2 linked regions of the Nothobranchius furzeri genome follow. The protein of the gene in region 2 interacts with the protein of the main gene of each other region in a pairwise test. Links are inferred from orthologs where the notes say so. Each region holds a gene or a part of one and is shown on either strand. Other genes may lie near its edges.

The links. The genes of interacting proteins can lie anywhere in the genome.
Region 1: the proteins of B-cadherin (region 2) and E3 ubiquitin-protein ligase Hakai interact in a two-hybrid assay, tested with the Homo sapiens proteins (2 studies listed by BioGRID, with this or other methods). The link is inferred for Nothobranchius furzeri from reciprocal best matches to the Homo sapiens genes CDH1 and CBLL1.

Annotation. Positions count from the first base shown.
Region 1 is NC_091741.1:57,567,327-57,571,465, reverse strand, and holds the start of E3 ubiquitin-protein ligase Hakai, read left to right. Parts: upstream 1-1,339; 5' UTR 1,340-1,458; coding exon 1,459-1,477; intron 1,478-1,516; exon of another isoform or gene 1,517-1,687; intron 1,688-2,219; coding exon 2,220-2,408; intron 2,409-3,549; coding exon 3,550-3,656; intron 3,657-3,898; coding exon 3,899-3,982; intron 3,983-4,059; coding exon 4,060-4,133; intron 4,134-4,139. UniProt on the Homo sapiens protein: E3 ubiquitin-protein ligase that mediates ubiquitination of several tyrosine-phosphorylated Src substrates, including CDH1, CTTN and DOK1. Targets CDH1 for endocytosis and degradation.
Region 2 is NW_027223037.1:4,231,160-4,234,659, reverse strand, and holds part of B-cadherin, read right to left. Parts: intron 1,134-3,500; coding exon 1,005-1,133; intron 791-1,004; coding exon 605-790; intron 353-604; coding exon 108-352; intron 1-107.

The DNA.
Region 1 (4,139 bases), on a different chromosome or scaffold from region 2:
TAATAATTTAGCAAATGTAAACTAGTTCCTCCCTTCTTCTTATTAGCATTAGAGCTAATTAGCTGACGACAGTTGACTAGTGTAGAGCCAAAAGCAAACTTGAACAGGTCACTAACTTAGGTATAACTTCGTCGTTGGAACAGTAGAGTTAAAATGTGCAAGTTGCTTAAAAAGACTGATTATTTTAAGACAAAAACTAACCTTTGATGGAAAGTCCGCCGCTGTTGCTTCCTTTTCTGTTGGATATTTGTGGGTTTTATAGTCAAGAGCCAGCTATTAGGTCGATGTAGCTAACGTAGCTTGCCGTGGTAGCTTAGCTAACATCCGTTAGCCTGTGAGTGATTTGTTTTGAAGAAGCACGGGCTAACGTAAGCTAGCTCAACTTCGCTAACGTTAGTCAGATGTGGCTGCAAAACTGTTAAATACGCAAGGTCCATACGTTAATTTCCTCTAAAAATAAAAAGCGATACGTGTCCTTTCTGATAGACAGGGCATGGTTTGTACTCACGCATTAAGTAATTCAAACGCGGGGCTAAGTTTAACATGCAAAGCAAGAAAAACTCAGTCATAAATTTCGAATCAAAATGGCGACATTGTACGATGAGAGCGCGCGGCACACGGGGACGAGCATCAGCTTCACTGCTTCGCAAAACATCAGAGCTCACTCACATGGGGTTCAAGCATCTTAATTGTAAATTATGTAATTTCTGACTCGTTTAATTGTCTCTTACTTTTAAAAATGGTACATTAACAGCGCTTGTGGGAATTGTGCAAATGTATGCGACAAAACGACGCTCAAATTAAAACAAGATCTAAATTATGAGACAAACTCATTATGCAGTAACGCAACAAACACATGAAGTCAAAATTATCGAGACGTTATGCGATATATGTCAGAAATAAGAGATTTTAAAAACACCAGTTTAACTTGAAATTAAAGGTGATATGAATGAAGATGCATATAATCTGATTAAATTAAAAATGCCAATACCAAAATATTAGACTACTAGCTTAAATGCTGTTCTGAAAAGTTTAAAATGCATTTACTTCATTTAGAAGTGCAACAATTTTGACACTTTTACAGAGTGTTAGTTTTTTTTTATTTATGCATGCGAAGTTAACTGCTCAGTTTATACTACAAAGATCAGAAAAGTGGTTTTATTTTAATGAACGAATTACTTAATATTGTATGTTTATAAATATCATCTTTACAGAATTCAAGGGACCCCCCCCCCCCCCCCGGCCACCCACAATGCATTGCGCTCACTCGTTGGATCCGGTTGGATCATGGACCAAAGTGGTGAGCTAAACGCTAAGTAGGCCCTCTGTTGTCAAAGTTTGTTTTTGTGGCTTATTTTTTCGTTTTGCCGCCAGAGTTGCTGCTCTAGTAGTTCTTTAAATTATTACGAACAACCTTCCAGGAATCCGGCTTTGCTGTTGGAGCTTGGTGCCTCTGAAATGCTCCGTTACGGTTTAGGTTAGCTGTGGATTTGTGCTAAAGGACGTCAGTTCACCATTTAACCCTTAAGTTCTAAGTCAGTTGGAATAGTTAGTTGTAACGTTAACTGGAGGTGTGTTCGGTTCCTGTGCCGAATGTGATTAGTTTGATTTTAGGTGTAAATCCAGCGATAGCGTTGTACAGCCTACCTTACCCTGTTTTAGCGCTTAGCTAATTCTTTGGCTAACGGTTTGTAACTTCGTTTTTGTTGCTCGTCCTCAGATTATTTATTGATGTCCGAGACCTTCTTTGTGTTTAGTATTCTCACAAGTAAAGATCAGGGTAAACTGAATTTCGGTTGGATAAAAATAGCCTGGTGTTCTTTCGGAATATTTCTTAAATATGTCAACGTTTCAATCTGTCGCCTTTTATGTGCCTTCGTTTTGAGAATTTTCTCCTTTCTTTACCATAAAAAACACTTTCTTGATAAACTTACGTCACAGATAATAAGCATTATTCTTCAAACCGTTAGATTTATACTTTGATTACATGAGGGAAAGTGTTCCGACACATCAGCAGGCAGAAATGCCAAACATTAACACGCCAAAAAGTAGTTTGAACAAGAACAGAAACGTTTGCTTATTTAACTCATCAGTCGGGTACATTTCAAATAAAGATTTACATAACTTTTGGAACGCAGATGTAATATAATTGTGCTTAATGGTGTGATGCTATCAGTTTTTTGTTTTTATTTTTTGGGTTGTGCATTCGGTGTGTACAGACGGTGATCTTCAAGGGAGCGATGGTTCGGGAAGTTTGGGTGGACTGGATGTTCGCAGACGAATCCCCATCAAGCTCATTTCCAAGCAGCCCTTGAGGAATAAGCCCCAGCAGCGGATGCAGAGGCCTGGCACCAGGCCCTGCAAAAGTGAACCTGGGGAAGATGGTACGCTACCGAGCACATTAAAAAGCAAGTCACCCCCAAATCAACCTTTTTGTGTGATAAACTATATAAATTGTGCTGCAGACATGTGTAGTCAATAGTTTGGCACTTTAGTGCATTTTAGTTAAAATTTTAATTTTCTGACTAAAACTGTCAGTGTTGTGCCGTTGTCAGGTAAAAACTCTGCACTGCATTTGAATTTAAATCTGCCATCGCTATTGGCTAAGAGGTATCCTACAACGTTAGCTGGTACCATATGATGTCACAATGTCGTTGTGAGCGTGTGTGTGTGTGTGTGTGTGTGTGTGTGTGTGTGTGTGTGTGTGTGTGTGTGTGTGTGTGTATTTGTTAGCAGCTCCGCCCTCTCAGTCTGCTAGGCAACAACATTTGTTGCATTTTTCAAATCAGAAGTGGGAGTGGAGTAATACTCTGGTAGGGGGTGACTTGCTCTTTAAACTTTTAAAAAGTAAACTGATCGGGGTTATAGTCACAACATTTTCTGTAGAATTTTAATTTGGAGGTTGAATCTTTTTATGGTTCATGTTGATTCTGTGCTGCAGGAACTGCACAATTCTGGCTGGACTGTGCTCCCAGCAGAATCCACTAATCAGTCATTTGCTCCAATGCAGAGCCTTAAAAATAACTATTTAGACAGATGCTTTTAAAATAAACTGATTTATACACCTCAGTTAGTAATCATAAACATTGTTTTGTTGAACCTGACCAAAACCCTTCTTCTGAGGGTGAGACAGATTTTGCTGTATATTAACTTATAGAATTAACCATTATTCATTAGAATATACTTTATTGTCTCAATTGGGAAATTTGTCATTAGGTCAAAAAAGTTGCACTTCGGTTAGTATAACTGAAAAAAGGAAAAACTACACAGAACCATACTAATCTCCACATTACATACTACTCTTAACAGATGACCTTTGATTATGCATTGTACATAATACACATAGCACATTCCTTAAACATCGAGTACTGCACACTTACACAATCCCACAATACTGCAATTTGAAAATTTCAATCTGAAACATTTTGCCCCAGCTCTATCAGTTGACTAATTGAGTTCTAAACAACAAAATCTGCTTTTATTAATCAGGGTTTTATTGACTTTCTCTTTTCAGTTTTACAATAATACTTATTTTCTCATATTTTGTAGATAAATTCAACTTTAAGCAAGAGGAAAGGTTTGATTGTGGCACCAAAGCTGGCGATGTGTTTGCAAGCCAGCGGAGATTTCCACAACCCCTATTTTGGGACTATAAGGTACGTCAGTGTGGGTTTGCTGACATCATCTTATTATAGTGACTTTCTGTTTTATATATATATATATATATATATATATATATATATATATATATATATATATATATATATAATAAAGCTGTCCATTGACCTTGGGTTAGTGTACACTGTTGTTTTGCTTTGACTATAAAAGCTTTGTGACTGGATTTGAGTATGTCTGAGTGACAGATACCCATAATTCCACCCATTTGCTTTCCCTACAGTTACATTTAATTGGTGAACGGGATGAAGTACCAATTCATTTCTGTGACAAATGTGGCCTCCCTATTCAGCTGTATGGACGGATGGTATGTACTTTGTTCTTGCTTGCTCCCTTTGGTTGGTTTTGAATCATTTTCTGGACTGAGACTCTCCCTCTCCTCAGATCCCATGCAAACATGTTTTCTGTTACGACTGCGCTTTGCTGCATGAGAAGAAAGGAGAAAAGATGTGTCCAGGGTGAGA
Region 2 (3,500 bases):
AAAGGTTTTCATCAAACCTTAAATCCTCTTCACCATACACACACCTCTCTGTTTTGAGCTGAAACCAGGTTAAATACAGACAAGTTAATTCTAATCAGATTTCTTACATGACCGTCTGTTTGCGCGCCGTGTCCGGGTCTGAAGCCGTGTACACCGTCACCCCACTGCCAGGAAGAAGGCTCTCAGGTTTGGCCACATGCTTCTCCGTGGGATCGAATATCGGAGGTTCGTTGATGTCGAGGACCGTGACTGTGACTGTTGCAGTGGAGGTGGGCACATCATTAACAAATGGAACCTCGTTCTCCACTGAAACCATCAGAGTGTATATGCTGGTCATCTCATAGTCCAGACCCTGGTTTAATGGAGGAGGAGGAGACACCACACAACAGATAAGACACTAGGAGCTCATTCAGCTGATGGAAGGTTTCCACCGCAGGACTCAGAGGCCAAAACAAAAAACTGCTGAGGCTGTGCTGCGGTGTCGGAGTCAGGGTTACCCAACACTGGGTGTCCCCTTCAAGTTCCGCCTTTACACAACAAACCAGATGCAGTTCTGGCTCTAAGTGAAGCTTTACTTTGTTACGGAGAACTCTGTTGCACCTACCTTAACGGTATAAAGAATTCCTTCCTGTTTGTTGGCTCCCGTTTTCACAGCAAAAAATCCTCCGGCATCTCCGTCTACAATCGTGAACTTGGCGTTCCAGGCTTGAGTGTGTGGATCGTCTCCGTCCGTCACCGACATTCTAACCACCACAGCATCCACTTTATTCTCTTCAACTGATGATTTATACTGAAAAGTTCAGAAGGTTCTAGATTAGCTCCACTTTAGGGTCATCGTGTAGTAGTTTGATTGTTTTGACTGCAGCAGCACAAACTGGACTGCTCAAGCTACGCTAAAACTGTTCATTTACAAAGTTAAACTTCCTGTCAGCTGTTAAAATCAACACTAGTAAGTTACAGAAATGATCCTGATGCACGAGTAGGTCTACATGTGTTGTACTTACTGAGGACTGTGTGAAGACTGGAGGAAGGTCGTTGCTGTCCGTTACCTTGAGTATTACTTTGGCCTCAGTAAACAACCCTTCTCCCTGTGTGTCTGCAGCTCGTACCATCAGTGTGTACTGAGGGTATTTCTGTTGGATAAAAGTGACGTTAATCTGCAGTAATACACCATCGCTTCAGTTTATAAGAAAAGTCACAGACTAACGACTGCTTCATAAAAGTCTTGGATCTCCTGTAAACTCGGATGCCTCTGACCTTACAGTGGACAATTAACCAAATAGTTGGCCTTTGGTAGGCTACATCAGCACCTAAAGTTTATCCCTAAATTTTCATAAGAAATGACGAAAATGATGCAGGAGGGCATTAAACACTTGTTTTAGCATTTTTAAACAAATATTTTCACTAGCGGTGGGCATAGATTTTTAATCTAGATTAATTTCACTGTAATCTTGGAATAATCTAGATTAAAATGGTTTGTTTGAATTCCACCAAAGGCATTCCTAATGTGTGTGTGCTACTTAAATAACTAAAAGGAAGCATTTGAGAGCAAGTTTCCCAAGCCAGGAGGAGCATTAGTCCAGGGGCTTATCTCCCGTTTCCAAAAGCATCACAAATCGAGAAATCTTGAAATAAAAACACATCTAAAAACTTTGCTATTCAAGTAACGTTTCACATTCAGAACTTATTTTTAAATAGCACAATAAAACTATGCCCACGTCATCTTTAACGCCAGTTCAAAGCGATCTAGAGAAGTTGTCGGTGTGGCCAATCTGTAACTTTCATCTTCAGCCGAAAGAACCAACGACAAGCTGGATAAAATCTGTTGCTGTAAACAATCTGTAAACAACTGCTGCAGCGGTTCCTTTCAGAATAAAAGCTGAACCATCACGACCCCGTTTTGGGTCTTGTTAGATGCCGATAAACTGTTGTGACCCGGAAGAATCTCAAGACTGGTGGTCGGCTGCCGCGGCTGTTTCCACAGGCTTCGGCTCCACAAAGGTCAAGCTGGACCTCTACTAGGGTTGTCACGGTAACCGGTATAGCGGTAAACCCCGGTAAAAAAGTTGACAATAAAAATAACCGTCCAGTTTTTAAAAAACTATATTATCTCGGTGGGTTTACCGTGGCCGCGGTTTCGGCGCGATGACCCTTACCAGCCACCGTCGCTTCAGCTGAATTTCCCGCGGCGCGCACACGCACTTTTTAGTTTGCAACGGCACCAAAACTTTGAAGCTGAAATAATGGCCGAAGGAGGAGACGGCAGCGCCCAGGACATCCATCAGCCCTCAAAGAAGACTAAATCGGAAGTATGGGCATATTTTGGATTTCTGAAAATTGCTGAGGGACAGTTAATGGAAGACTGCTATCCCGTTTGCAGAACGTGCAGGAAAAGTGTCTGCAAAAGGCAGCAACACTTCGAATCTAATGGCACATGTGTGTGACCATCACCCACGTCTCTACAGCCAGTGCAAGGTAAGTTAACATTAGCATTTTAGCTTAAATGCATGACGTGAGGACTTTTGGTTGAGGGAGAATACAACGAGTCACTATATACTGCAGCCGCAGCGCCCTCTGCCAGCATTTAAACCGTGTCACGGACACCCTGTTGCTGGATGAAGCGTCTTATTTGTTGATGATGAAGAGAAATATACAATTAGTTCTTTGTCATTGATTTGTTTACTTATTCAATGCCATTTATACTTGAACGTTTGGATTTGATTACATAGTGTAGTAGTTATTTTAGTAATTTGTTTAAAGTGGCTATTTATTTTAAATACATATTTTTTAAGGTTGACTTGTACAGTGCTCAAGTCAAGTGTGGACTGGAGTTTTAGATTTTCATTTTGATAATGAAGAAAACAAGTATATGAGAAAACAAGTGGTGTTTCTTTGATTTGTTTACATATTGTTTATGTTTCGAATGTTTGGATTTGTAAAATTTAAACCTGCACTGACTACTGTAACATGTTCCAGAAAAATTTGTTCCTTTACTTGTGAAAAGTTGCACTTTTGCTAAGGCTTTGTGTTATTTTAGGTTTAATAAACACTGTTGAACCTTTTCAGAACTATTTCAGTTTGTGTAGAACAGGACAATCAATGCTTTCTGAACATATGCAACACAGTTTAAAAAATACCGCGATAATACCGAAAACCGTGATAATTTTGGTCACAATAACCGTGAAGTTAAATTTTCATACCGTGACAACCCTAACTTCTACACCTCCTGATCTAGACGGGGACTTCCACTAAGGGTATGTGGACCGACAAATGGCGTCGAATGTGTTTATGAATCTCCTAAACAAAGTTTAGCGTGAAGACATCACCTTCATTTCCCACCAGAACTAATAGTTTCTTCAGATTTGCTGGTTCTGAACATTCCACACTACACCATTCTCTGTCTCATTTCACCTTAGTTACACCATACATTTAGTGTTTAAGTGAGTCTAATTTGTTTAGTAATAAATCTTTAAACTTTTAAAACTTGACTCTCTTCTGTT